Pelodiscus sinensis: one gene and its partners. The protein of the gene in region 1 interacts with the protein of each later gene in a biochemical or structural test. Links are inferred from orthologs where the notes say so. Each region holds a gene or a part of one and is shown in the gene's direction. Other genes may lie near its edges.

Region 1 (7,603 bases):
CATTTTATCCTCATGAGTGGTTGGCTTGTGGTCTGCAGAAAAGTCTGTGTTGAGCGGGGTGGGCCACAGGCCAAAAAGTTTGAGAACCACTAACCTAGATGGATGTAATGTCCATGAGTGTGTCTGTATTAATACAACAGCAAGAGTGGCATAGGAGGAAAGGCCATGGTGAAAGAGGGGTTAGAAAAAGGTCTGATTTCTAAAAACTAGCTTCGCTTTCCTCAAGTTTCATGCACCTTGCACTGCAGTCGTGCACCTGGCATCCCTATTACACATTCCTGCATCCTAACTCTCCCCAACTCACCTGTGCTGTCGGAAGGCTACACGCTGCCTTCTACTCCCCCTCTAGGCCACCAGAAACTGCAACTGCTGTCTCTGAGCTGGCAGCCCTGTGCCTCCTTTCTTCCTGCTCCCTCCACAGACTCCCAGCCCACAAGGAGCACCAGTGACAGCCAGCGGAGAAAGCAGTGGGGGCAAGAGCAATCCATGGAGAGGGGCTCCACACTAATGGCTCCCTGATTCTTCTGCCCACAGTCACCTGCTCCAGGCGTCCCCATTGCAAACCTCTGACCACAGGAACAGCTCTGTATTAGCCCCTTGCCCCAGCATCCCAAGGCCTTCTTCTTCCTGAAAATCCATTTACCCCGGAACAACCTTTCACCCTGGTGTCAACAGCCCCAGCAGCTCCCCTTGCTCCACTACCCCCACCTTGCCAGGGTCCCCAAGCTGACCCAAGCTGAGTACCTCCACTCAGAGCCAGTAAGTTCTGTGCAGCTTCATTTCCTAGTAGGGATGTAAGCGACTAGTTGAGTAGTCGACTAACAGATAAGCCTAGGCTTCTTGGTTAGTTGAGTTGATGATTCAAGTACTCACATCCTTCCCTTCCCCCCGCCCCCCTCTTCCAGGCACCACCACCTTCCACTGCCTCTGTATCACAGGCAGCAAAGGGGTGGGAAGCAGGAGCCAGTGCTGGCAGGAGCTAGCTTAAAAAGCGAGGGATGGGGAAATTGCCATGTACAGAAGATTGTCCATGGCAGCCTGGGCTGGCCGCAGGCAGAAGATTCTCCGGCAATAGCTTCTGTCCGCAGAGGGTCCAGCTCTGTGCTGGGGTCCCCCATGGACAGGGGCTGCTGGACCCAGAATGAGTCGTGACTGAGCAAGCCTAGCTCTTACTAGATTTAAACTGCAGAGTCTCATTGGGTATGTCTACACTACAGCACTAATTCGAAATAACTTAATTCGAATTAGTTAATTCAAACTAAGCTAATTTGAACTAGTGCACCTAGACCTAAAAACTAGTTCGAATTAGCGTTTTGCTAATTCGAACTAGCATGTCCACATTGAGTGGACCCTGAACCGGGGTTAAGGATGGCCGGAAGCAGCGCTGGCAGGGCATCAGATTAGGACTTAGAGCGTGGAGCTGCTGTCTCAGGCTAGCCGAGGGCTGTGCTTAAAGGGACCCGACCCCCACCCTGGACAGACAGTTCTCAGGGTTCCTCTCTCACTTGTCTAACTTGATGAGGGACAGCAAAGCAGTCCTGGCTTGGAGTGCCCTGAGTGCCCACACTCGGCACATCACAGCACTGGGCCATCAGACCAGCTGCACTTGCCGCAGGCTGCCATCCGGGGAGGGGGGTCAATCAGGGGCCTGCAGAAGAGCTTCCACCCTGAGGAGCCCGCAGAGCCACCCCAGTCCTCCCCATCAGGGGCTCGTACCCCATTCCTCCCTCACCTCCTGCCACTTACCCCTCCCTAGCCCCCCTTCCTGATATACAAAATAAAGAACACGTGTGTTCAAAAATAGAAACTCTCTTTACTTTAACAAAACTCGGGGAGACTGGGAAAAGGAGGTGGGAGAGGGGAAGAGAGAGGGTGGGAGAGGGGAGGGCAACTAAAATGATCAGGGGTTTGGAACAGGTCCCATATGAAGAGAGGCTAAAGAGACTGGGACTTCTCAGCTTAGAAAGTAGGAAACTAAGGGGGGATATGATAGAGGATATAAACTGAGGGGGGATATAAAAGCACGAGTGGTGTGGAAAGGGTGCATAAAGAAAAGTTCTTCATTAGTTCCCATAATAGAAGGACTAGAGGACACCAAATGAAATGAATGGGTAGCAGGCTTCAAACTAATAACTGAAAGTTCTTCTTCACAAAGCAAATAGTCAATCTGTGGAACTCCTTGCTGCAGGAGGCTGTGAAGGCTAGAACTGTAACAGAGTTTAAAGAGAAGTGAGATAAAGTCATGGAGGTTGTGTCCATGGAGTGCTATTAGCCAGGGGGTAGAAATGGTGTCCCTGGCCTCTGTTTGTGGAAGGCTGGAGATGGATGGCACGAGACAAATGGCTTGGTCATTGTCTTCGGTCCATCCCCTCCGGGGTAGCTGGTGTTGGCCGCTGTCAGCAGACAAGCTACTGGGCTAGATGGACCTTTGGTGCTCAGAGTCGGGGGTCTCACTGGACCACCTTGATTTTCATGCAAGCCTGCTCCTGGGTGGCCAGGCTCGAGCCGTGCCAGGTACAGGGTCTGCTGGCTGGGTGCTGGAAGGCTTGCACCTGGCACGGGCACCGTAGCCAGTCCATGCCCCTTTAAGGGCTCTGGGGCCGGGAGGGGGGCAGAAGAGTTTCCCTGGTGGTGCCCAGAGTGGCCACCAGGGAAAGCTGGGGCGGGCTAGCCTCCCACTAGTTCGAATTAAGTGGCTACACAGCCCTTAATTAGAACTACTTAATTCAAACTAGGCGTTAGTCCCCATGGAATGAGGTTTACCTAGTGCGAATTAAGCGCTCCGCTAGTTCGAATTAAGTTCGAACTAGCGGTTTGTATGTGTAGCGCCTATTAATGTTAATTCGTTCTAACGTCTGTTAGTTCGAATTAACTTTGTAGTGTAGACATACCCATTGGGAGTAGCTCCCGGACCCAACACAAACAGGGACAGAGCGCCTTCCCTTATTGACTAATCATGTAGTCAATAACAATTCTATCGTCTACACGATTATTAAAATACCCACGTCTTAACATTCCTATTTGCTACTCCTGTTGCTTTTTGGGGTAACGAGTGTTGACTATACATTTAAGATTATGGTTGTATGTACAGTATTTGCAAATACAGAAAAAGCTCAGAGTTACAAGCACCAGACCATTTAACCACAGACTTCATCTAGAACCAGAAGGATGCAATCATGCAGCAGCAGAAAGGGGGAAAAAACAGAGTAATGTAAACTACTAAAAAAAGGGGAGGAGTTTAAAAATTGATAGGGAAAGGAAACTGTCTGAGTGCTTGTTTCATTTAAATTAAACAAGCACAGAAACAGTTAAAAGCAGCATTGGTTAAAGCAGCAGATGGTGAAAAGCAGCATTCTTCTTCTGCATAGTAAAGTTTCAGAGAGGTATTATATTCAACTGTAAACTTTTGAAAGAACCAGCATAACGTTTTGTTCAGCATTACAACCAGCCTCCATTCCCGAGGTGTTTGTAACTCTGAGGTTCTGCTGTATGTAAAGTGGATCATTAGATTGTTTGTACAAAATGTCCTCCATGGTGTGGCACAAAAGTAGCTAGCTGTGCATCTCTCTCAGTGAAGAGGGTTGGAAACTCCCTCAATGAGTAATTCTGGAAGCAATTCTGTTGTGTCACCTTTTCATCCAATGCAGAATATTTGTGGTGTTAGCTATTCACTATATTTTTGGTGCACGATTATGAAAGTGAGGGAGAGAAAAAGGAATGAAAACACAAAATTTGTCATTGAACTCTTCATCTGGCCTTACAAGATGAATTTAAGGAATTTGACACCCTGGGAGACTCATGGAAAAAATCAGTATTTTTAATGTTTATGTTTTATTATTATTTATTTTATGTATTTGTTTAATTTTTACAGAGAGACATTAACTGTCTTTCCTTATCTAATTCATTTTGCTTGCCCATGCACAGCTATGAAAAGCTTATAATAGAAATATTTTTGTATGTATGTAGTGGAAAATGCCAATTTAAACAGGATGTTTGAGATCAGAAGGACTGACCCAGAATCTGTGCTGGGACAGACATGAAAGCATAAAAATTTCATTCACAAAGGTTTTCTGGGGCCACTTTTTTTTTAAAGCCTAAACAGAGTCACGCACATGCTGGCTCGGAAGCTCCCACAGTGTTTCCAGAGCCGAGCTGATTGCTTTCAAAGTTATGCAGAGCTACATCCTCAATGGACAGCAGCCATGAACAGGACTGGGAACAATTACCAGCTGACGGAGAAGTTCGTCGGCAGTGGGTACACTTTTGCCAGCTACTACCCTTGGATGGCCCAGGGAGAAAGAGGCAGAGTCAATTCCACGCCTACTTGTTTCCTTTCCCGTCTTTCGCCACAGTTTCAACTGATTTTGATTACTCTGGCGCCAAATAAATGAAAGCATCTCATAGACATATAATCATCCATCACTGTGAAGAAAGGAAAAATGCTTATGTACGGCATGTTTATAAATACACTTATATGAAGAAAGGATAGCTCTGTCGTTTTTAATCTCGTGCTGCTGGGTAGCTAGCTGAATGTCATCAGGGCAAGCTGCCTGTTTTATTTTTTCTTTAGTCCTGACATGGTCTTAGGGGCACACTAGTGGAGCTTGTGATGATAGGAATTGAGAGATCTGTCCCCTCCACAGTTCTAAAGGTTAGTGCTGATTGGAGGTAAGTGATCGGAGGCTTTTGAAAGCAGGAGTCAAGTGTGTTCCATGCATATATATTGTAACAGGACCACATCAAAGGGAAAAGGGACTCTTAACAGATTTAGTCTGAATAATGTTGTACAGCCCAGGGTAATAAAATGATTCCATCGGGGAGTTGAGTCAATACCAAGAGAAGAGGAGCAATAGAAGTGACAGCTAGTATGCCCTTTGCATGTGTGTGTGTGTGTGTGTGTGAGATATGTAGGCATTACTTCATACGTTATGTGCTAATATTCCTTGTAAAAGCATGCAAATCTTTTTGACTATTTGGCTACAATAGAAAAGCTGTTTATAGAACATGACATTATTGCTACTTTTGGTTTGCACTGCACGGAAGAATGTCTTTTTTAACAAGCGCAGCATTTTTAAGGCAACTCTTGAGATATTATTTCCTGAAAAAAGAAAAGAAAATACTCTTTTCCATGTTGTGTGCTGAAAATAGAAGAAAATAGCATGAAAATATTATCAGACCATGTAAATTTAGCTTTTTGACCCTCATTCATTGTATGTCATATCAACAGATCTGCTGATATGCTGCTATTTGCATTTGACTTGGACACACAAACACTAGCAAAATGTTTGCCCTTTGTAAACTATTGTCTGTGCTTGGCTTCATAGAAATCATTAATGCAAAACTTCTCTTCATCTGAATCTCCAAAAAACATTGAGTGGGAGAGAAAAGCTTTCAGTAAAATGGCTGAAATGCTGTGGCAAAAATGTGATAGTACGATTGTTTTGTGTCCAAATGTAGGTATAATCAAATTGCACCACATTGTGTTGCATGGGAAGGGCAGAAAACAGAAAGAAAGGCTAATTTGATTATACAGACTACTTCTGAATTGCTAACCCTTGGCAGTAACTTCCTAAAAAGAGGGAGAGTAGTAGGCAAAGTCCTTAGCCCTTTTGACCCCACATGTAGGTCATCTCTTTATTATGGCACAGAGAATATTGTTAATACTTAAATTATTTTTTATATAAGCATTACATAACTAATGCAGCATGGCCAATGGTCATAACCTTTTTGTGAGTCTTGGTGTTTTTCAGAAAGCCCCAAATCCTGAAGACAAATGATGATATGAGAATCTCAGTCTTTTATTTAAAATTAGCTCCAAAAGGAAGTTTCTAGCACCTATGACTGCAGAAAAAAATTGAAAACATGTTCCAGTGTAATCTTAAAGCTCAAAATCCTGAACATAAGCTAAATTAATCAATCAAATTAAAAGAACTTCAAATTTATTTTAAAGATGCTCTCATGCATTTTGGGGGCCTGACTCATGATCTCTGAATGGAACAGGGTTTGCAACACTATCAACAGAACAATAGTCAGAGCTGGATGTTGACTGCAGTCTAGAGCTATGTCTTCCAAAATGGAGGATGACCTTTGCTTCCTACAACTTCACCTACATTCTTACACAACTATAACTCCTTCTCCCACTGGTGGCAGCTAACAGACTTCACTGGCTATGAGGGGGGGCAGAGTAAATTGCATGCTTTAAATGGTATTATTAAATTAGTTTTCCAACATCACTACTGCCACTGCTACCACCATCTCTGTAAATGAGAGGGATAATTGGTCTTTGATGCAGGATGCTTCCTAGCTCACTCCATACCACCCCTTGCATCCAGCTAAGCATGCTTAACAGCCATAATTTAACTCTACAAGGCTATTTTCTTCCTTATTCCTACAAATGAAAGAAGGGGAAATGGAATGTATCCTAGATATAATTGCTATTTGCATATGTGCCCTAAAGAGTTAAAACAAAGCTTCTCCAATCTGGTGTGAGTGCAACAGCATAGTTACATAAACCACACCTGCATTCCCACACTGGACATATGGATCTGGTGAGCAAAGTAAAATATTACCTTAACAGACATTTTCATAATGAGTCTGATCTGCATCTAATTTAAACCAGACAATTATTTAAAAAAAAGTAAATGGGGATTGTCTTTTACTTGCAGGATTAGACCAAAGTGAGTGTTATTCACATATTCCTCAACTTAGACAATTTCATGGCTATTTTCCAGTCTCTCATACTGAGTCATAACTATCTAGCCACTCCTCTTGGCTTACTAGCTACTGTACTGACTGAGCCAGTATCTCAGTGGCAATTCTTACATGATTGCCTCAGGCCAGTCTTCCAGGATATATACTGTTTTATCCCTGAGTACCTTTTAGTAGAGGTCAGAAGGCTGTCGGCCCTTTCATAGATTTACTCGAGTGACGTTACAGCAACACAATTTAAGACTCAAGTGGTCTAATTAAAAACAAGAAAAAAAGAAAAATAAGCTTAAAACAGACAAAAAAGTCCTTCTCACATATCTAGTCCTTTACTCGGCAAGACTGAAGCTATGAAAAACAGACATGAAGTGGACTTGTGGTTAAGACAATAAATCGTGTCTCAGGGTTTAGGGGTTTGGTTCCAGACTCCTGTGAGACTTTAGGCAAATCACTTAACCTTTCTGCCTCCGTTTCCCATTTGTAAAATTGAAATAATTTCTTGTCTGTCTTGTCTATTTAGATTGTGGCTCTTTAAGAGGGGGATTCTTGCATACCGTGTGTTTGTACAGTGCTTAGCACAATAGGGCTGTGGTCTGGGATAGCACCCCTATACTCTACGATAATACAAATAATAAATGAGCAGTAGTGGATCTTGGTTTAATTGTAGAAGTACAAAACTGTCACTTTACCAGAGGGCTCCCTGCCTTTCTCCTGTGACCTCTTCAGTACTCCAGTTTGTCTGAGGCTATGACTACACAGCAGTGTTATTTCAAGATAACTGACATTATTCCTAAATAACAACGTCCATGTCTACTGTACAAGCAGTTATTTTGACATAATGTCAAAAGAATGTCAAACTGGAGGACTTCTTACTCCGACTTCTGTAACCTGCATTTTA
Region 2 (7,220 bases), on another chromosome or scaffold:
CCTTGCCCCGCAGAACTCAGTCTGCAACTATGTTCAGCCTCACTTTGCTAGGCACAGTTCTGCCCATGCCATAGCTCTCTACACTAGATGGAACTAAGACTAAGATTTCCAGCTCCGAAATCTGCCTGAAAGAAGCCAGAACATCTACCAGCACAACTGGGGTAGTAATCCAGAATCGCAGCAAGTTTCTGGCTACCCTGTAGCTGGGGCAGCCCAGTCCCAGGGCAGGGAGAGAGCAAGACTATCCTGGGGCAGGAGTTGCAGAAGAGATCAGAGAGGCTCCCCGCGCCGCCCCGGGGGAGGGGGGGCGACCGCCAGTATTGGTGATCTGACATAGCCGCTGGCCCGGTTCCTCCGCCCCCGTGGCCCAGATCTCTAAGAATGGAGGTGACCGCGCAGCAGCATCAAGCGCTGCATTTAGCCCATGAGCTCAGGCAGCAGGAGCTGCTGCCAGCAGGATCATCCCAGCCTGGATCTTGTGACGTTCCCTGCTTGGAGACTGCGCCCGAGGCTCTGTTTGTTGCTGTAAACAGACTCAGCGCTGCAGCTTCCCTGTTACTATGTATAGCTATGCGATCTCTTGTCTCCCGTGCCAGGCGAGTCTGCGGTCTGGCTCCTCCTGACTTGGCCTGACCTGAGCCTGGGCTGCCTGACATCCCCACTGTGGGTGGGTGTCTCCGAACTTCATTGCCACGAGAGTTACAGCAAATCCAAACTCTGGGAAAGGAGAAAACTCCTCTGCCTGAAACCACCGCTGCTTGGCAGTCTCCCAGGCAAGCAGCCCCCTATCTACATACCATGGCACAGGGCATATCTCAACAATTCCCTCTCATTACTGTTTGTATACAGCTTTTTTAGGAAGTTCAGTGCCCAGTAAATAACAATAGCCTCCCCTGTGGCACTGTCCTCCTTCAAAGCACAGGGTGGACTTTAACTAACGACTCCTCCCTGTGCCCATTATTCACTATATTCCCAGCTATTATTCTACATATTTAATAACAGGAATAATAATTGCACAGGAGTGTAACATTTTCCCCAATGCAGGAAATGGAGGCGGTTATATTTTCCACATGTACATTCTGTAATATTCCAGTCCCAAAGTATAGCCAGAAAGAGTTCTATGCCAGGGATCCGGACTTATTTACAATAAAATACGTGTGTTTCTTTAGTGAGTAACTGCTCCATAACACCCAGTATACACCGCATCATTTTTTATTTAGTTTTTAGTTAAGTTTGTTGGGTCTTGTATAATAAATATTGTTTTAAGAAAAAATAAAAGGGATACAATCTATGTTCACAAAGTAGATATAACTTGCACCTTTTCTTGGACACAAACAGGTATAATTGCCATTCAAATTTCTGCAAGTGAAATGATATATTCTGGATGGATTGGGAAAATGGCCCATGATATCGGTAGGTTCCAAAGTACATTCAAGTTAATGGGAGCCTCACTATTGACTTCAATAGGTTTTGGATAAGGGTGACTGCACTGATAACCACTAGATAACACAGCTCTTTTTGCAGTGCATATAAAGCAAAATGCAGAAAATGAGTTTGTGAAGAACAAGTCATGCCAAACTAATCTGATAGCTTTCTTTAATAGGATAACGAGCCTTGTGGATAAGGGAGAAGCGGTGGATGTCATATACGTAGACTTTAGTAAGGCATTTGATACGGTCTCGCATGATATTCTTATTGATAAACTAGGCAAATATAACTTAGATAGGGCCACGATAAGGTGGGTGCATAATTGGCTGGATAACCGTAGTCAGAGAGTTGTTGTTAACGGTGCTAAATCCTGCTGGAAAGGGACGACAAGTGGAGTTCCGCAAGGTCTGTTTTGGGACCCGTACTGTTCAATATCTTCATCAATGACATAGATATTGGGATAGAGAGTACGCTTATTAAGTTTGCATATGATACCAAACTGGGTGGGGTTGCAACTTCTTTGGAGGATAGGGACATAATTCAAAATGACCGTAGCAAGTTAGAGAAATGGTCAGAGGTAAACAGGATGAAGTTTAATAAAGAGAAATGCAAAGTGCTCCACTTAGGAAGGAAAAATCAGTTCCATACATACAAGATGGGAAGCGACTGTCTAGGAAGGAGCATGGCGGAAAGGGATCTAGGGGTCATAGTGGACCACAAGTTGAATATGAGTCAACAGTGTGATGCTGTTGTAAAAAAAGCAAATATGATTCTAGGTTGTATCAACAGGTGTGTTGTAAGCAAAACTCGTGAAGTCATTCTGCCGCTCTACTCTGCACTAGTTAGGCCTCAGCTGGAGTACTGTGTCCGGTTCTGGGCGCCACATTTCAAGAAAGATGTGGAGAAATTGGAAAGAGTACAGAGAAGAGCGACAAGAATGATTAAAGGTCTAGAGAACATGACCTATGAAGCCAGGCTTCATGAACTGGGCTTGCTTAGTTTGGAAAAAAGAAGATTAAGGGGGGACATGATAGTGATTTTCAAATATCTAAAAGGATGTCACAAGGAGGAAGGAGAAACTTTGATCCTCTTGGTTTCTGAGGACAAGACAAGGAGTAATGGGCTTAAAATGGAGCAGGGGAGGTTTAGATTGGACATTAGGAAAAAATTCCTAACTGTCAGGGTGGTCAAATATTGGAATAAATTGCCAAGGGAGGTGGTGGAATCTCCCTCTCTGGAGATATTTAAGAACAGGTTAGACAGACATCTGTCAGGGATGGTGTAGACGGAGCTTGGTCCTGCCTTGAGGGCGGGGGGCTGGACTCGATGACCTCTCGAGGTCCCTTCCAGTCCCATGATTCTTTGATTCTATGATTTATAAAGGCAGTTCCTCCAGCTGCAAGTTTTCATTATATAAAAGCATTTTAAAGGTGAACAAAAATGTGATTAACTTTTCTCCAAATACTTTACAATATCCTAAAGTGAAATGCACAGTACCTGACTCCCTGCAAGGGCAGTACTACACAGCAAATAACAAGAAATCTACTTACTTTATGACACTTTGTATACAATTAACAGGCTTATTATATAGAATGCACATATTAATTTAGAAATATTAGATAAGATAGGACAACACCAGATACTTAAATATGCTGGATAAAAAGTACAACATAAAATACAGGCTTCTCAAAAACAAAACAACCCCCCCAACACAACTGTTCATTTCTTCATGATCAACAGCTCTTTTACAGCTAAGCTATAATTTAAAAGTTATTCTAACAACCAACAAAACAGCACAATCCTTCTTCCCTAAATAATAGCAAAGACATTTATTGTTTTCCATCTACCTTTAAAAGGTATTAGGAAAGCCTTATGATATTTAAAAAAAAATCAACAATAAAAAAAGATAATGAAACTAACAAGACTGGCCTTCTATTTCTGCTGCTTACTTACACTGCTTTTCCCAAGCTGCCCCTATTATCCTTTTCCCAACCTTCCTCTGTATTTTGTTTGTTAACAGCTGAGTCCGTCTGGTCAGGGACCTTGTCTTCAGACGTGTATGTAAAGTGAAAAGCAAGTTTAATATCATGTGGTAATATAGCTGCAATCGAACTTGTTTAGAACTATTTGAACGGGGCTGAGTAAGAGGAAGCAGGTGCAGATAGCAGAAGGGCTGAAAAAGTCACCTTTGGGCCTTAAAGGTGAATGAACTCTGTGGAGGTTTCTAACTAACCGAACGTGATTCTCCTTGTGGGGGTGGGACGCTATTGCAGCAGGGACTTGAACCTGAGTTTGGCCTCAACAAGAGGACCTGCAATCTGCCTACATAGCCCAAGCGCTCGCTCTCTCGCTCTCTCTCTCTCTCTCACACACACACACACACACACACTCGCGCTCCTCACTTGGCTGCAGCCTGGAGCGGTTCCCGTCAGTCACACCCCCTTGCACAGGATGTATCCCATATAAGGATATCTGCGTCAGTGGGTTCCCGAGCTGGGACTGTACCATTATGGAAGGGGGAACACCAGCAGCCCTTCCTGACCCTGAGCGGCTCAGACCCCTTGAAAATTCTCAGGGTAACCACCTTGACATGGAGTGGCGAGCCCACTGGATTACGTAAAAGATGGGAGAGGGAGGCGGAAGTTGTGGTGAAAGCTTAGAGGCGGAGCATCCCGCCGTCCCCCCTCCCACAGATGTTGGGTCTGCCAGTGACGACATAGGCTTCATTCACAAAGGAGGGTTTAAAAGGTGGGGCTCCGCACTCTACTCCAGCAGCAGAGCTAATCTGAGTGACTGAGCCGGGAAAGGGACGAGAGATACGGCTGGGGACAGACAATCCGGACAGAGGGATAGTCGGCCCGGACAGACACACAGTCAACCGGGACAGCCTCACCGCCTAAACGGGGTTTGGACAATCCTAGCCTAGACGATATGATGTACCAAGGCTTCACCACCGACTATGACGCGTCTTCCTCCCGCTGCAGCAGCGCTTCTCCGGCCGGGGACAGCCTCACCTACTACACTTCCCCGGCGGATTCCTTTTCCAGCATGGGCTCGCCTGTCAACCAGCAGGTGAGGGACCGGGACTCTGGCTGGTGACGGCCCCCGGGGCAGTAACTGCTGCGGGCAGGGGGAGCAGTCTGCGCCTCCAAACATCGCACAGTGACAGACGGGGCAACTCAGGTGCAGAGATAGCCCGCATCAGGAAGGGTCTGTCCTGCACTGGGCGCACCTCTTCTCCTCGGTGCCTGTGCATGGGAGAGAAGGAGGCAGCAGTCTAGCTCCCTGTCCTGGAGAGTTAGTGTGTGTGTGCGGGGGGGGGGGGGAGGGAAGGCTACTCTGAGATGTGGGGGAGGCCACTGTCTGGTCCCTGCAACAGGGAAGAGGGATTGTGGCCCAGGCTCCGCTCTGCGGCGGGTGTGTAAAGCGGTTTCATTGATAAAACGAGAGTTCATTGAGGAGACTCCGGAGCGGCGCCTGCGTCAGTGCAGACGTCAGGGATATTTATAACAAACCCCCTTTTCATGTGGAGTCTGATGATGGTAGCGCAGCGCTTGAGCCTGCCTAGCTCCGGGGGCTGAAGGCCTGGCTCAAAATAGCACAGAACTAAGCCTCTGGGTCACTGTGTCTGATATGCCTGGTGAGGGGGTGCAGGACGGGGAGAGGGGGTTCCTCCTCATCCAGGCCTAGGCTTCTGTTACTAATATCAATTCTCTGTGTCTTCAGGATTTCTGCACGGACCTAGCTGTCTCAAGTGCCAACTTCGTACCCACAGTGACTGCCATCTCTACCAGTCCAGATCTGCAATGGATGGTACAGCCCACCTTAATCTCTTCAGTGGCACCCTCCCAGAACCGGGCCCATCTCTACGGGGTCCCTACTCCTCCAGCCAGCGCCTATTCGAGAGCTGGAATTGTCAAAAGCGCAGGAGGCAGAGGGCAAAGCATTGGAAGAAGGGGCAAAATCGAACAGGTGAGTACACAGCCCTCTGCGATCGTCCCTAGGTAGCATCTGGGCAGGGGGATAGAAGGGGAAGGGCAATTCTGACGGCTCTTCGAGAGCCGCTCAGCAGAAGACACTGACCTATCAGTTGCACTGAATGGGAAGGGTGAATAGCTGAGGGATAACCCGGCTCAGCGCCAATAGGACTGTCCGAGGAGCTGGAGTTCGCTTGGTTCTCCTGCTCAGAACCTTCCTTGGCATGCCTGTTAGACGCAGTCTATGAGCACCTTAACATGGCTTAGGCGGGAGAGACCCGGAAGGGGAGCTTGGCCTGGCGGTGGTGAGGCAGCCAGGGCTCACCGGCGTGGGGTGGCAGCGGATTCTAACCGTGCTCGTTCTCTCTCCTTAGCTGTCCCCAGAGGAAGAGGAAAAGAGGAGGATCCGGAGGGAAAGGAACAAAATGGCAGCAGCTAAGTGCCGCAACCGGAGGCGAGAACTGACAGACACGCTGCAAGCGGTAAGTTCTCCTCCGCCTCCGACCCCTACCACAAGCCGCGCACCGAGCACCTGTGCGCCCCTAGGGGGCACCGGGCACGCCTGCGACTCTGTCTCATTCCCCTCTCGCTGTGCCCGCAGGAGACCGATCAGCTGGAGGAGGAGAAGTCGGCGCTGCAGACCGAGATCGCTAACCTGCTGAAGGAGAAGGAGAAGCTCCAGTTCATCCTGGCTGCGCACCGACCAGCCTGCAAGATCCCGGAGGAGCTGCAGTTCTCCGAGGAGCTCGCTGTCTCCTCGCTGGACCTGAGCGGCCTGAGCGAGGCGCCTGTGCCCAGCTCCCCAGAGTCCGAGGAGGCCGCCTTCGCTCTGCCCATGATACAGGAGGCCGCTCAGCCCGAGCCCCTGCCGGAGCCTCCCAAAGGAAGCAGCGGCCTGGAGCTGAAGCCCGAGCCCTTCGATGAATTCCTCTTCCCGCACGCGTCCCGGGAGACTGCCCGCTCTGTGCCCGATATGGACTTAGCCGGCTCCTCATCCTTCTATGCGGCAGACTGGGAGCCCCTGGCGGCCGGGGCGTGCGGGGAGCTGGAGCCGCTCTGCACCCCAGTGGTGACCTGCACCCCCTGCCCCAGCACTTACACCTCTACTTTCGTCTTCACCTACCCCGAGGCCGACTCCTTCCCCAGCTGTGCGGCCGCGCACAGGAAGGGCAGCAGTAGCAACGAGCCCTCCTCCGACTCGCTCAGCTCCCCTACCCTGCTGGCTTTGTGAGGGGCCTTAGCTCCAGGGCACTGACTGCAGGGCGAGGGGTGAACACAGCGGATCCCGAGCCTCCCATCTGCTGCTGTATGTGTGTGGGGGGCCTTTCACCACAAAGGATCCACCTTCTTCCTGGGGGGGTTCCTGCAGCCCGACACCCCAGATTAGGGGAGGGCAAAGCGTCCTTCCCCCTGGGCTTGCGTAGGCCGGTCCGGTGCTAAAGGACCCTGCAGAATGATCTGCAGCCAGGCCTCAGACCTCTTCCAGAGATGTAGCAAATCGCATGGAGTTTGTCTTGTCCCCAGTGACCCATCCATGAGAGCTGGTAGTCTGTAGCATGTCCAACATGGCTGGGTTGGTGATTTCTTTTCCCTACTTAGTATTCACTAGCATTAATTAATCTATTGGTTTAATGATTGGAATTTAACCTGGTGCTGGGTATCTCCAACTCGTATCTAGTGCAGCTGATTTAACAATAACTACTGTGTTCCTGGCAATATCGTGTTCTGATGACTTTAGCAATGACCCATCTTAACTGGGAAAGAGACAATATATCATTTTCTAGTAGATAGAGATAAATAGCTATATCCATGTAC
Region 3 (7,216 bases), on another chromosome or scaffold:
CAATTTACAAGCCTTTGGGGGAAAAAAATCAATAGGCGCCTAAATACTTTTAAGGATCTGGGTCTAACTACCATTGAAATAAAGATGAATTAGGCATATCGTTGAGGATCTGGGCCTTAGATTTTAACAGCTAAAACCCCTGAAGATGCCATCCACACTAGGCATGCTGCTGCTTGAGGGTGAGCAGGATTTTCTTGTAGTTACAGCTGAAGGTTCATGTACCTGAAGTAAGAGCAAGAAGCCCATCTCTTCTGTGCTCCCAAAGATCATCCCCCATTAATGCTTACACAATGTGAAGGAGAAAACTGCTGGATTAGAATGCAGATAGTGCAAGAACTGGACATGTGGGAGGCTAGTGATGGTAGGAGTTAGAGAAAAGGAGCTTGAAGTGTAGCAACTGGGGCTGGAGGTTGGCATAGGCGAGGAAAACTGGGACTGGTAGGGCAAGGAGACCGAGATTGGGATGAGAAGGCTGATCAGTATAGATTGGGACTTGCTAGGTTAGGATAATGGGATTGGGAAAAGAAGCTAGGGTGAGGGAAGGGACCCGTGGAAAACATAGTATGTGATAATGTAATTAAAGACTGTATCATATTGCAAACACACAAGGAGGCTGAATTAAAGTTGCACGGTCTTATTTATGCTTTATACTTAATAACTTTCTTTTAACAGTTTTGTATGTATAATCTGCACATAAATTTCTATTCTATTCTATCACAGCTAACACTATGGTATTTTAGCACAGATGAAGTTAAATGTTTGCAAACAGAAGAGTCAATCTAGACCTTACAGCTGTTTTATGCTAAGGGCCTGCTGTGCACAGGGAGGGCACTCCAGCTGGGCTGAAGAGGCCCCCTCTTTTTAACAGGTTAATCAATTAAATGGGATTTTACATCCCTACTTTATACCAATGTAACTCACTGACTTCAGTGTAGTTACTCCTGATACACATTAGTATGAAAGCCAAGAATTTCCATGCCACATCACTGAGGGGATAATAAATGTCTTATACATTTGGATTACTCTAATAATCTTGTGATATATTTTATATTTGTAGAAAACTTGAATGGACTTTCAACAGACACTACCTGTTATCTGGTAAGATATTTTTAACATAACTATTTCAAAAGGAACTCTTACTACATGAGAATGTGTCTACATTGTGTGTATGACTTCATTTTCAGAAATAAACATATATGATCATTTATTTGCACTTATTAATAGTTTTACATTTTTTTTAGAGATTTTTTTTACATATAAAAAATGTTACCAGAGAAGATTTTCAAGGATAGTGTGGTAGTCAGGAGCGAGTGATGTGGTATCCTGACAGGTCTCCTTCTCTGTCGATGATAACTGTTTGGCTGCATGCGTGTGTGTGTGCTCCTCCCATGTGTTGTGTTGACTTTGTGCAAGTAGTCAATACAGCAGACTCCAAAAGAATCCCCAAAGACCACACAATCAGATAAAGATCAAAGGAGTCTGGGCAGCCCACTGGACTGTGCCCACAAAAGCTCATGATACCATGTACATGTTTTGTTAGTCTATAAAGTGCTAGCATACCATTTGTTGCTTTTTAAGTTTATCCTGTACAGACTAACTCAGCTACCCCCTGAAGCTTTACTACACATATATACCCCCTGACAATGGACCAGATTAGTCAGTGGGAGGTACTACTCCCTCCTAGGCCAAAGACAGGCCATTCAAGCAACTTTATATACAGCTACAAACAAGTTACACATCACTCTGATGTTACCTAGACATCATCCATCACTCTGCATCTGGTGGCTCAATCAAAACAGCTCTCTCCATCATGCTGTCATTTTAGACCCTTTTCTGAACTGGAGTCTGTATGTCCCTGTTACTGTGGGAAATGCATGGGTACAAAGATCCTTTTTTACCATCCTTCTGGAATGTGCTTTCAATCCATGGCAGTACCAATTACTGTTTTACAGCTGTGCCTATTACTAATTAGTGTAAAACACTATCAGCTCTGTGTGATACTGACAGAAGCAGGGGCCAATCCATTGCTAATATAAAACTAAGCTGTGAGCAAAGTCTTGACCATTGTTAGCTAGGCCTCATATCAGGCCTGTGATTCATGGGCTTATATTTCAGGCTCTCATCTTACTACATATATAACCTCATGTGTTCATTTCTCTTATTCTCACATATGTCATTTCACTCATTATGTGAGACCAAGTTTTTCAAATCCATTTTTAGATACTTACATGAAAGTGTCCTGGTTTTCAGAAATGCCAAGGTGTGGAGGCATGCTCTGGATCCTGAGAAACCTACAGGCTCAGAGACAGCTCTACAACCTTTTCTATAGATGATGGGAATCTCCCCTTCCTTGCCTGAATGATATGGGGAAATTCTGTGAGGGAATCTCTACAAGGGTCTTAATGCAATAATTTTATATCATACTACTCCACCAAGATCTAATTTCCCCCCTTGGTTAGAACATAGAAAATTATCCAGGATAAAGTCTAATCAGTGTACACCACAGGAAAAAAAAGGGAAAACTAATCACCAACTCTAAGTTCTGTAGCCTTGTTTAAAGTGAAAAAGGGAAGAGAAGAGAAAGTTGGGAGTTTTCCAATAAGAGCTGTTGACCAAAAAATCTCACTCTTTTTTAGTCTGAATGCTAAAAAACCTGAACATAGTTACTGTGTCATCCTATAGCAAAGTAAGCTCCAATCCTGCAAACATATATGGAGTGCAGGTAGTCACTATTGGATGCAGCTATGTTTACAGAAACTATCACTGAAAGTGTTTTTACTATTTTCATTGTTAAAAGCATGAATAGTGATTGGGCTATTAATATACAGCCTCTATTGTGAAAATGACAGCTGCTACTGACAGTAAGGATCATTATTTTATTTTAGCAAAAATTAGTTTTTACAGATATCTGGGTACTCATGCATCAGAGTTTTAGACCCCATACAAATCTTTCATTTTTTTCATTGTACATTGATGTAATTACATTTTAACAGTTCTTCTCAATAAATATGACACTATTACAGAAAGCAGATATGCAAAACACAGAAACAACAGCACATGTTATAATATTACATATTACTAGAACAAAACATGTACTGATGACCTCTGGAAAAAAAAAGGAAGGAAAAGTCAAAGTACTTCCTCAGCAGGATTATTTATGATCTATTAACATGTTGATAGATATTTACTAACATTTAAAAATGTCTTACAGTACTAGCCCTCCTTTTTCCAAAGTAAGAGAGAAAACATACGACTAAAAACATCACTAATATAAATAATAACAAATAAGAATTGAAATACAAAAATAAAAAATCCACAGCAAAAACTATTTTGAAAATCACTTGAAAGCGAGACCCTTGGTTATATTTTAACTGATACATCTAGACAACATCGATCATAACATTTTCCACACAGAAATCATACCTCAGTCTGGAAAATCGAAAGGGGAAAACATGGACATCGATACACAATTAATCTCAGTACTGACAAAACCACTCAAACATATTTGAAGATACTGAATACTTGTATTCTAGTTTTATTCAGTCAATCTAAGATTCCATTCCACGGATGACAATCCAAATCCAATGAAGCCCTTTTATTAGCCTTATATTCTCTCCGCTTTGCTCCTCCTCCCTCCCTTAACCTACACCTGGTCACCCATCTTTGCATCCCACTGATCGTCCAGATTCTTCAAAAGCTGCTTCACTATCCTACAAGCCCGCTCTCTCTGCCTCCATCCCCTCGGACCCCCCGCTCTGTTTCTCTGTCTTCCTCTCTCCTCCAAGTTTTTGCTCCAGCACCGTGATCTGCTGCTCAAGCTGCCTCCTTCCCCCAAGTCGATCTGTTGCTCCTCCTTCCAATCCACACCGCTTTACACCTACCCCGACTCGGCCCCTATTTGCTCCTTCGCCCCCACTCCCCTGATCTGTTCCCCTCCCCAGTCACTCACCCGCCAGTCACTCCCACGAGCTGCTGCTGCTGGACCCATGCTCGGGGCGCTCGCTCCTCCATCCCTCCCGCCTGCTCCTCCCCCGGCTCGGCTGCCCGGCGCGCGGCGGGCGTTCCCTTGGCCAGCGCGAGCAGCCCTCGCGAGCCAAAGGGCAGAGTGAGGGCAGCAGCTTCCCGTCGCCAGTGGGCATGTGCGGGCGCCGCGCGCATGCCCGCTGGGCCCGCTCGGAGTGCGAGCATGTGCAGAAGGGACAGGGGCACGCTCTGAGGCAGGGCAGATTGTGCTGTTACACTGGCCAAGCCCCCTCCCGCCCCCCCGGGGCGGCTGCTACTGCTGGGGAGGCCCCGGCTCAGTCTCTCCGGGCGGCGGCGTTGGCGGCGGGCGCTTCTCGGCCTAGGGCAGGCGGGGTGACGCGACGCCTGCCCCTGACACACGGACAAGGTAGCCGAGAAGGGGTGTCGCTGCCTCCGCCCCGGGTGCGCCAGGGGGCCGGATCCTGCGCGCGCCTGGCAGCAGGGACTCGGGGTGAGTCCGGCCTGGGGGCGGCCGGGCGGGTTCCCCCCCCCCCCCCGCGTGGCGGGCCGGAGCGGGCTGACGGCGGGCGGGATGGAGGGGCCGGGTCAGGTGGTGTCCCCGGCGCTGTCTCTCGGCGGCCCCCTCCCGCGGGGCTGGGGTGTTACCTCGCCCGCTCCGGGGCCGGCTGGGATGTGCTTAGCCCCGCCGGTGTTTTTATCCTCCGGATCCCCCCCCCCCCCCAGCCACGGGCGCGTGTCCTGGGCAGGAGCAAGGACCTGTCCGGGCAGCGCTCCCAGGGGCAGCGGCGCGGCGTCCTCCCACAGCCGGAGCAAGAGGAGATGGCGCGGGGGCAGGTGCTGTAGGTATTTACCGCCGCGGACGGGCTGTCAGCCAGGGGAGGGGGAGCGCAGCGCCGCGCCGGCAGGGGAACTTGCTGGGCTGGCGCACTTTGGTGCTATGCAAACAAACAGGCTGGAGGGAGACGTCTCCGGAGAGCAGGGGTGAGCTGCAGCCTCCCCCGCCCGGGGCTGTCTCCGTGCCGGTTGCCCGAGGCCATCGCGGAGCTTTGCACCCGGGCGGACTGAAATGGAGCAGTTTGAATCGGTCCTTGGCGAATGCGCCGTCGGCGTTACCCCGCCGCCATCCCTCGCCGCCGCCGCCGCCGCCTGCACTTTCAGTTTCGTGTGTATTTCGCTTGCCTGCTTCCCCGCTCGGCCTTGCGTGGAGCGCCTGGGGGAAGGGTCAGGCAGAGGGGCTGACAACCACTTTTGCCTGCCGTCGTGGCTGTGATGAGTAGCGGTGGGTTGTGTGTTACTAGTTCTGGGAGTCAGTTTTTTCAACCGTGTGTGCGTGCCTGCTGGGCGGAGGGAGTTGGTGGCTTGGAAGTATTTTTATGCCTGTTGAGAACAACGGTGTGAATCAGCCTGCAGTCCACACACGAATGTTTTCCAGGGAAGGAGGCTAGATTGGGATCCCAGTAACTGAGCCCATCGAGGCTGTGTTTCCCTCTGACTTAGTTCTTATGCTGATCTAGCTCTTTGATGAGTCTTGCTTGGTTTTATGGTGATTCAAGGGGTTTCCCGTCCTGTCGCTTAGATGATCTGTAAACGCAGATATGTTAGGGACCAGAGGGCTCAGATCCTGGAATGGGAGGGGAGATTCCCAGCCAGACATGATGGCAGTTCTCTTCAGCTGTAGTATAAACATAGCCTCAGGAAACTTCATGTGTTTAGTTTCCTGCTTTCAGGAAAATACCTATTCCATGTTTCTTCATGTTACTTGTCAGTCCAGAAGCAGAACCTCTGATGGATAAATATGAACTTTACATATTTGTATGGTAACTTGAGAGGGCATTAGAAAATATTACAGAAACGTTCTCCTGTTTAGTTACACAGGATGGGCCAAGTAACATGGGAGCCTAAGCTTGCCTATGATAGTTGGTTAGCTGGTAGCCTTTACCCAAGTTTGCTTAAAAAAAAAAAAAAGTTCTGCCACCTTCACTTTCCAAATCCTTTTCTGTTATTTTAACATTATTTAAAAATAGCAATATTTAACTATCATTATTCATTTCTAAGACTTTTCTTTTTTTTAACTCTTATGTAAAACTTTCATATTGATATTTTGTAAAATATTAAAATTTATCAGTTTTGGTATTTGTTTTTAACTACTAGCCCCTTTACAGTTTTTATTCAGTTAATTCTTCATTTCCTCTTTCTGGTTCCCTCCTTATCATTAGTCAGTACCCTATCCTCCACCAGTAGTCTTTAACTATTTTACCACTTTAACAAGAACAGCAACAACAGCCTTTAAAGTAGTCAAAAGAGCCTTATTTTTGTGGAATACTACTTGTTTCCAGAGGATACACTGTATATGTTCCTGTTATGTCATCCAGTAGTCCAAATTTTTAAATATATGCTACGTATGATTCAGAATTGAAATTTACTATAATTATCAGTGCTACAGTAAAATTGGATAACATTCTTATGTATTTCTTGATGCACACAAAATGTCAAAGTTCTATGCTACTATTATAATTAGCCAAGACAAAGAACATGAAATAAGGGTTGACACAAATGTAGGCATTCTGTATGTGGAAATCTGAAATACAGAAAACAGCTTTGAAACAATATTGTAATGGTGAAGTATTTTTTTACTCTAAACAATATAGGCCTAAATGATATGATGTGGCCATTTAAAACCACACGATAGATGCCAAAGCAACCTCAAGATCAGTATAAAAGGATATTGCTGAATTTGGGGGTGGGGTTAGAGAAAGTTTGAGTCAATGAATGGAAAAAATCTTATAAAAATTGAAAAGACTGGGATTATTTTCCTTAGCATGGAGATGTGAGGGACATGATAAAAACATAAAAATAATGAATAGCCAAAAGTGTAGGTGGAGTTTGATTAACCCTATCTAAGAAATTAAGAGCCACAGGACATTCAATGAAATTGAAAAGTGAGAAACTCAAAACTGTTAAAAGGAAACAGTTTCACATAATATACAATTAATCTGTGAAATTTACTGCCACACAACATAACAAAGGCCAAGAGTTTAGCAGAATTCAGAAAGGGATTAGTGACTTGTATACAAAAACATGCAGTAATAATAGTAAATACTGATGCACAAGATTTGTACAGGTGATAGAGATCTTAAGCGCTGAACCATGAGGATTTTTAACTACTGACGTCTAAGTACTAGCTACATCTGACAAAGTGGATTATACCCATGAAAGTTTATGCTCAAATAAA
Region 4 (7,568 bases), on another chromosome or scaffold:
CTGAAGGGAGGTTCCAGAGAGGATGGAGAGAGGCTGTTCTCAGTGGTGGCAGATGGCAGAACGAGGAGCAATGGTCTCAAGTTACAGTGGGGAAGGTCTAGGTTGGATCTTAGGAAAAACGATTTCTCTAGGCCGGTGGGGAAGCACTGGGATGGGTTCCCTAGGGACATGGTGGAATCTCCATCCTTAGAGGTTTTTAAGTCCTGGCTTGATAGCGCCTTGGCTTGGATGATTGAGTTGGGTTGGTCCTGCTTTGGGCAGGGGGATGGACTCAAGAACTTCTGAGGTCTCTGCCAGCCCTGGGATTCTATGATTCTATGATCCTGGAGAGGCTCAGCTCTTCGAGGCAGGGACCGTCTCTGATTGTGTTTGTACAGCACCTAGCCCAGTGGGGACTGGGTCCCAAGCAGGGCCCCTAGGCAATTCTCTCATACAAAGGAATCGTTGAGTCTTTTGTGCTCCGATATTGTGTGGCTGGCTGTTTTACCTGGATACTTTATGCCTGGGAGTCAATGAAGACATATTATGTACATACAGAATGGGAAGCGACTGTCTAGGAAGGAGTACGGCAGAAAGGGATCTAGGGGTTATCGTGGACCACAAGCTGAATATGAGTCAGCAGTGTGATGCTGTTGCAAAAAAAGCAAACAGGATTCTGGGATGCATTAACAGGTGTGTTGTGAGCAAGACACGAGAAGTCATTCTTCCACCCTATTTTGCGCTGGTTAGGCCTCAGTTGGAGTATTGTGTCCAGTTCTGGGCACCGCATTTCAAGAAAGATGTGGAGAAATTGGAGAGGGTCCAGAGAAGAGCAACAAGAATGATTAAAGGTCTAGAGAACATGACCTATGAGGGAAGGCTGAAAGAATTGGGTTTGTTTAGTTTAGAAAAGAGAAGATTGAGGGGGGACATGATAGCAGTTTTCAGGTATCTAAAAGGGTGTCATAAGGAGGAGGGAGAAAACCTGTTCATCTTGGCCTCTGAGGATAGAACAAGAAGCAATGGGCTTAAACTGCAGCAAGGGAGGTTTAGGTTGGACATTAGGAAAAAGTTCCTAACTGTCAGGGTAGTCAGACACTGGAATAAATTGCCCAGGGAGATTGTGGAATCTCCATCTCTGGAGATATTTAAGACTAGGTTAGATAAATGTCTATCAGGGATGGTCTAGACAGTACTGGGTCCTGCCATGAGGGCAGGGGACTGGACTTGATGACCTCTCAAGGTCCCTTCCAGTCCTAGTATTCTATGAGTCTATGAAATACCCTCTAGCACTCTGATAGGGCTCTGGGAGCAAGATCATGTCTCAGTAGCACACAGAAGGGAGGCCTGTCTGCACAAAAGCAGCTCTCACCCTGCTCCCACACCCGCTTCTGCTGACCCCCAAAGGCAGGGCTTATTTTCTGCAGATGCTACTTCTCGTCTTCCTCTGTGAAAGTGGCTTTGAGACGACCCATTGTAAGGTCTGTAAACATGGCCCTGGTATGCAGAGCTAACGCCTTACAGCTGCTGGGATTGACAAATGGATTGGCTGGACTCTGCTCAGTGCAGCCTCAGTCTGGAATGCAAATTGCCCAGCCAAAGTGCAAAGGCAGATACAAAGTGAGGCGTGGTGATCCGTAGGCCAGGTCTACTCAACTTTGGAAGCCCTGGCGGGGGCCACAATGGTACTCCCAGCACATGCCGAGGGCCGCAACTTAAGTGTGGTTGCATATACATGCAAATATATATGCAAATATATGCAAATAGCTTTTTTCACAATGACCAGAATGAATACAAAGGCAAAACTACACAACACGCAGGTCCCATTTAAGTCAGTTCTGCTGCTATTAATAAAATGCAATATTTACCACATTTCCACCCATATGACAGCACTTTTAATGAGCAATGACAGTCCCGGAATGTAACTACTAAAATGCATCTCAACAGAAGACCATTCCATTGATTCGCCGTTGTGGAGCGTGTTCCCAGTGGAGTCCATGTTCAAAGGATCCCACTCGTGGGCCGCATATTGAGTAGCACTGCTGTAGGGCATGCTGGTAGCAGGCAGTCTGAAGAGGGTTTGAGCCTCCAGGATCTTTGTAGACACACACAAGCAAAATCGATTAGAGTTTGTCCAAGGAGAATCTTATCTTTACTACCAAGATGGATTCAAATTGCTTCATTTAACATGGCTACAAAGAACAGTTTGGGGATTTGGCAAGAGCTACATTTATGATGTCAGAGTATTATGATACCATTCCATCCGGCCATGTCACCACAGAGCATCCCCAGAGCCTCCAAAACATGGGCCCAACCATCCTCCACACACAGTTCAGCCAATGCACCTCAGTTTTGACCAAGAGCCTCCTTAAGACTGGAGCTTAGCAAAGAGATTGCTAAGGGGGGAGATATGGCAATGACATATAAAATCATGACTGATGTGAAGAAAGTTAATAGGAAAGTGTTATTTAGCACTTCTAATAATGCAAGAACCAGAGGTCACCAACTGAAATTAATAGGCAGGAGGTTTAGAACAACTATAAGGAAGTACAACATACAGTCAACCTGTGGAACTCACTGCCAAAGGATGTTGTAAAGATCTGGGTGTCCCTAACCTCTGAGGCTATGTCTATACTACAAGGTTTTTGTGCAAAAACCCATGGCACGTCCACACCTCAAGCGTGTTTTTGCGCAAGAAAAGCTACAGTCAATCGACAGAAGAGGGCTTTTTGCGGTTTAGGTATACTTCCTTCTACGAGGCATAACTCCTTTTTGCGCTACAGCTCTTGCGCAAAAAGGCATGTGTGGACGCTCCGCAGGGGTTTCTTGTGCAAAAAGAGCCTATCTGAAAAAGCACGGGTGCTCTGATGGCCATTCTGTGAATGGCCATCAGAGCTTTCTTGTGTAAGAGCATCCATGCAGAGTGGACGCTCTCTTGTGCAAAAGCGCATCGCAAAAGCAATGCGCTTTGAGGTGTGGACGCACTTTTGCGCTATAAGTTTTTGTGCAAGAGGCTTTTTGCACAAAAACTATACAATGTAGACAAAGCCCGACTGCCAGAAGCTGGGAGTAGACGACGGGATAAATCACCTGAAAATTGCCCTGTTTTGTTCATTCCCCCCGTAGTTTCTGGTGTAGATCAAGGTTAGAGACCTGGGCTAGATGGACCATTGGTCTGACCTAGTATGGCCATTATTATGTTTTTTAGCTCGCAAACTTACTGCCACATGTGCATCCTTGGTAAATCTGTTAAACATTTAAACCCTCCATCCCTGTTACTGAGATCAGAATCTGACCCTCCCAAATTCCATAGAAAAGAGCAACCAAAGCAGTTCAAAGGCATGGAAGAGAGCTAGAGCTATAAATCAATTGCTAAGCAACCATACCAATCTCCCTCTGGTCAGATACAAGATTTCAACAAAAGGCATCATAATAAAAACTACCAAAGTCTGGGAAAGGGGGGAAAGCAAAGCCAGGTTGCCCTCTGCTCCCTCTACCTGTGTAGGACTGTTACCTGAAAATAATTCATGTAGTCTTTTATAGCGGATCCTGATTTTTGCAGGGGAGAAACTGATAATCATCACCGCCCTAAGCTTTCCCATTTTCCATTGGAGGCCCAAATCTTTTTCTCTCTTTGCAGCTTGTCTTCAAGGCGGGGAACAGAAAGGCTCTTTAATCCTCCAGGTAATTCTCTTCCTTTGTGCTGCTTCCATAATCCTGCCTGTGTCACCCACAGAGAAAAATGTAACGATTAGTGTTCATCAGATATAGGTATTGAAGCTGCCCCTGTTTCTGCTTCAGACCTATAAAGCCTGTTTGATGTCAGAGGGCTAAAGCGCTAAGAGCACAGAAAATTTAACAGGGATTGTGGATTAATCTAAATGCGTAAATCTTCTTTAAAACACCAGGTTACTGACAACTAATGTACAATTTAAAAACCCCCTAGATTCTCTATGTTTTCTGTGCTGGAAGCCTTAGATCATAAAATAACCATCTTTGAAGGGCATTCTCCTGCCTCACTAGTCTCTGTAACAGATTGTTTCCATTGTTACGCCACGATAATACAATGGAATCAGATTCCATGTGGGATAGCAGCTTCCATCCAGCCTCTCTCTCAAAGTGCAGCTGGACAGATGTCATTGCCCTCTCCTTGTGGCAATGAGAGGTGTGGGCCAGGGGCTCTCAGAGACGATCTGAAAGGAGACAGCGAGTTCATGAGCCGGAGGGCAGAGGGGGGGCTGGGGAAGCTGTTGGGGGTGGCAGGGGATGCATAGGAGAAGGCTCTTGCACCGCCAGAGCAAAGGGCATGAGAAGCAGCAGCTGGGCTGGGACATGGAGTGGCAGGAGGGGGCCTGGAAGTGCAGACCCCAGCACTAGGGGGTTATGGGGACCCCCAGTAAAACTCCTAAAGCTGGGGTGGGGCGGAGCTGGGGCAGCCCCCTAGAGGCCCGGGCCGGTGACTGCTGCTGAGTCCGGGGCAGGGAAAGTCCAAGTTAGAGGCGGAACGGGGGGAAGCCGGCCAGGACTACAAGTCCCAGGTTGCCCCGCGCGGAGGGAGCATGCGCGCTGGGCCTGCTGTCTCCGCTGGGAAGGAAGGCGCTGCCCTCAGTAGCTCTTGCTGTCTCCTGCCCGGCGCTGGCCGGAGCGGCGCCCGGCGTCACGGTGAGGGGCGCCCCGGGCCTCTGAACGGCGCGGGGGGGTGACTGTGGGCTCTGGGCGTGGGGGAGGGGTGACTGGGGTCTGGTCGGGGGGCAAGAGGGTGTGACCGTGGGGTCTGGGTGTGGGAGTCAGGGGGGTGTGACCGTGGCTGGGGGGGGTCTGGGTGGGGGCGGGGGAGAAGAGAGTGTGACGTGGGGTCTGGGTTTGGGTCGGGGGGGGGGAGAGGGAGTGACCGTGGGGTCTGGACCTGGGGGGAGTGACCGTGGGGTCTAGCCCAGGGTGTGTGTGTGACCGTGGGGTCTGGCCCGAGGGGCAGGGGAGTGACCGTGGGTCAGGCCTGGGGCGAGAGGGGGTGACCGTGGGATCTGGCCCCGGGGAGCAGTGGGAAACAGGGGGTGACTGGGGGGTGTGGTTCTGGGGGGGTGGCCAAGGGGTCTGGGTCTGGAGTTGGGGGGTGGGACCGTGAGGTCTGGTCACTGGGAGAATCCGAGGTGTGTGTTGTGGGGGGGAGGGGAGCTAACCAAAGTCTGCTGGCTGGGGGTATCTCTGTCAGGTGATAGGAGGTGATGGGCGGTGTAACTTGGGGTTCCCCTCGTGGTTTGGCCGGGAGTAACTGGCTCCCTTCGTTTCTTCCTTTTCCTAGCGAGAAGTGCATCGCTGCAAATTCAGGCGACTTGTCTGTGCCTAGCACTTGGACCACTCCTCAGGTTTGGTCATTTCTCATTATTCTGGGGGGTGCTTCGCATGTGCACTCTGTGTGACCTGGAAATGTAACTTCCACTTTGGTATCCATAATTTTTTTTCTTCCCTGCCTCAGTCACCCCATTCCCTCTGATCTGACAGGGTTGTCCAGCTCTGGGGCTCTCATTGCCCCTCCTTGCAGTGCCCAGCTGGGATACTATAGTATCCCCTCTATCTCCCTCACTACACAACGGTGAGTGGCTGCCATTTTCAGCCCTCTCTAGCGTGGCACACCCACCTTTGCAAACCATCTGTCAGTTATTCCCCCTTGCAGAGGGGGGTGTCCAATTCAGCATCACTGCTTTCATTTTCAAAATCTGTTGTCTCCACTCCCATATGACCCTGGTCTCTGGCAGGTGCTAGTGGCAGACACCTCCTAAAGTGCATGGGGAGACTCAGCCCACTTAGTTCATTCCCAAATAACTATTACCAGAGTTGAAAGTGGCACTAATTAAAGATAGTTGGTTTTTAAAAAAAATGAGTAATAGTTTCAGATCACACACCTGCCCAAGACTTCCTGCCAATGTGTGTGGGTTAAAAATCACATGCTCCTATTTTTAAAAATGTTTCGCCCTCCCCCATTGCTGTGTGAAAAAAAAAAAAAACCCACATACAACAGGGAAAGTCTGGAAACTGTGCACAAGGTGCCCTCAATGCACAACCAGTAAAAACAGAAGATAGCTGCACCAGTGCAAACTCCAGGGATGGGCAAAGCTGCATCATGTGGGCAGTTGTTTGGAATGGGGTAAGCTGCACTTGTGTAGGTCATAGCTTTGCCTGACCCATGCTTGGGTTTGTGACGGCTGAAGCTAAGCCGGTTGTGTGTGTCATCTTTCCGCTACGGCCCGGTCCATACCTGGAAATTGCCCAGGCTGAACCAAATCTGTGCAGCTTCCTTGCAAGATAACTTACAGTCAACACCTCATAAGCTGATATCCACATTGTGAGGCGGATGTGAATTTAGCTTGCAGAGGGTTTGTGCTGACTTAATGAAATCATCAGAGAGAGAGAGAGAGAGAGCGTGTGTGGCCCAGCCTTTGCTCGTTCCTTGTAAAAAGCTCTTTCTGACTGATGGGATTTGAAGCTGATGGTGACCCCTTATGAGCTCAGTTTATTTTCATTCTCTCAAGTTATGACATGTTTAGGCCCTAAAGATGTTTTTAATCTTGCATCTTTTAAAACACTTTGCTCAGCTACTTGGAAGAAGTTCAGTGGAAGCTGCCTTTTAGGGAAATGAGAGGGGTTAGATTAGTTTTGACTTGGGGTTAACTTTTCAAAAGTGTCACAGTCCCATTTTCACTGCTGTGAGTGAGCCACATCCATCTTGACTGATTTTGCCTCATTAATGCTGGTCTTCCACTTGATAAGTAACTTCCTTCTTTCTATATATAGCTACACACACACACCCCTGCCTCTGTAATTTCCATTCCAATTCATCTGATGAATTGGGTTTTACCCATGAAAGCTGATGCCCTAATAAATCTGTTAGTCTTTAACATTCCATATGACTGACTCCTTGTTGTATTATCCCCATGATACTGCTGAGGAACAGAGAGGGTAACTTTCCCAGGGTCGTGCATGGGGTCTGTGTCAGAGAAAGGAATTGAGCCCGCATCTCCTAAGTGTCAGGATAGTGCCCTAACCACCACATCCCTCTTTCTCACTAGTTGTGCTCTTTCTATGGCTCTACCATATAAACAGTAATTTCTGAGCCTGATTCTTTAAAAGGATGCTGACGGCTTCTTAATATTTCCAACCAGAGTCTCTTACCTATGTTACAAAGAGCATTTGATTCACTAAAATGGAACTTGTGATGAAAATCTAATTTTCTTTTAGCTGTTTGTGCTGATTGTTTTTTGTGATTCTCTTGGCCTGGGCACTAAATACTGGTTGAGCTAAGTTTCACTTTTTGGCTTTTATTCAGTTTCACTTTCAGGAGCTCATTGGAAACCCTTCCCCCCCAGGAGACTGTTTGCTTAAAAGCAATTGTTTCTTGTTTTGCATTTGAACAGTCTCCTGAAATATCTGTGTTAAAAACCTTTGCCATTGGAATGAAAATAAAGGAATGGAAGCATTTCTGTGGGCATTGGGTACATATAAACTTGTGTATAAGGAGGGTTGGCCAGTCTTGAGTTGACATTGTTTCTTCAGTGCAAACCTTCCTGACTAAGGGTCTGATCCTACGAGGT

Evidence for each region.
Region 2: the proteins of RUNX1 (region 1) and FOS form a complex in vitro, tested with the Homo sapiens proteins (2 studies listed by BioGRID). The link is inferred for Pelodiscus sinensis from reciprocal best matches to the Homo sapiens genes RUNX1 and FOS.
Region 3: the proteins of RUNX1 (region 1) and ELF2 form a complex in vitro, tested with the Homo sapiens proteins (2 studies listed by BioGRID and IntAct). The link is inferred for Pelodiscus sinensis from reciprocal best matches to the Homo sapiens genes RUNX1 and ELF2.
Region 4: the proteins of RUNX1 (region 1) and DTX2 form a complex in vitro, tested with the Homo sapiens proteins (2 studies listed by BioGRID, with this or other methods). The link is inferred for Pelodiscus sinensis from reciprocal best matches to the Homo sapiens genes RUNX1 and DTX2.

What each region holds. Positions count from the first base shown.
Region 1 is NC_134711.1:184,931,476-184,939,078, reverse strand, and holds the start of RUNX1 (runt-related transcription factor 1), read left to right. Parts: upstream 1-4,594; 5' UTR 4,595-4,609; coding exon 4,610-4,668; intron 4,669-7,603.
Region 2 is NC_134714.1:43,955,588-43,962,807, reverse strand, and holds the start of FOS (protein c-Fos), read left to right. Parts: upstream 1-4,209; 5' UTR 4,210-4,359; coding exon 4,360-4,500; intron 4,501-5,154; coding exon 5,155-5,400; intron 5,401-5,779; coding exon 5,780-5,887; intron 5,888-6,006; coding exon 6,007-6,636; 3' UTR 6,637-7,220. UniProt on the Homo sapiens protein: Nuclear phosphoprotein which forms a tight but non-covalently linked complex with the JUN/AP-1 transcription factor. In the heterodimer, FOS and JUN/AP-1 basic regions each seems to interact with symmetrical DNA half sites.
Region 3 is NC_134715.1:44,504,727-44,511,942, forward strand, and holds the start of ELF2 (ETS-related transcription factor Elf-2), read left to right. Parts: upstream 1-4,212; 5' UTR 4,213-4,390; exon of another isoform or gene 4,391-4,474; intron 4,475-4,806; exon of another isoform or gene 4,807-4,827; intron 4,828-4,894; exon of another isoform or gene 4,895-5,263; intron 5,264-7,216. UniProt on the Homo sapiens protein: Isoform 1 transcriptionally activates the LYN and BLK promoters and acts synergistically with RUNX1 to transactivate the BLK promoter. Isoform 2 may function in repression of RUNX1-mediated transactivation.
Region 4 is NC_134731.1:15,621,513-15,629,080, forward strand, and holds the start of DTX2 (putative E3 ubiquitin-protein ligase DTX2), read left to right. Parts: upstream 1-4,566; 5' UTR 4,567-4,641; intron 4,642-5,281; 5' UTR 5,282-5,345; intron 5,346-7,568. UniProt on the Homo sapiens protein: Regulator of Notch signaling, a signaling pathway involved in cell-cell communications that regulates a broad spectrum of cell-fate determinations.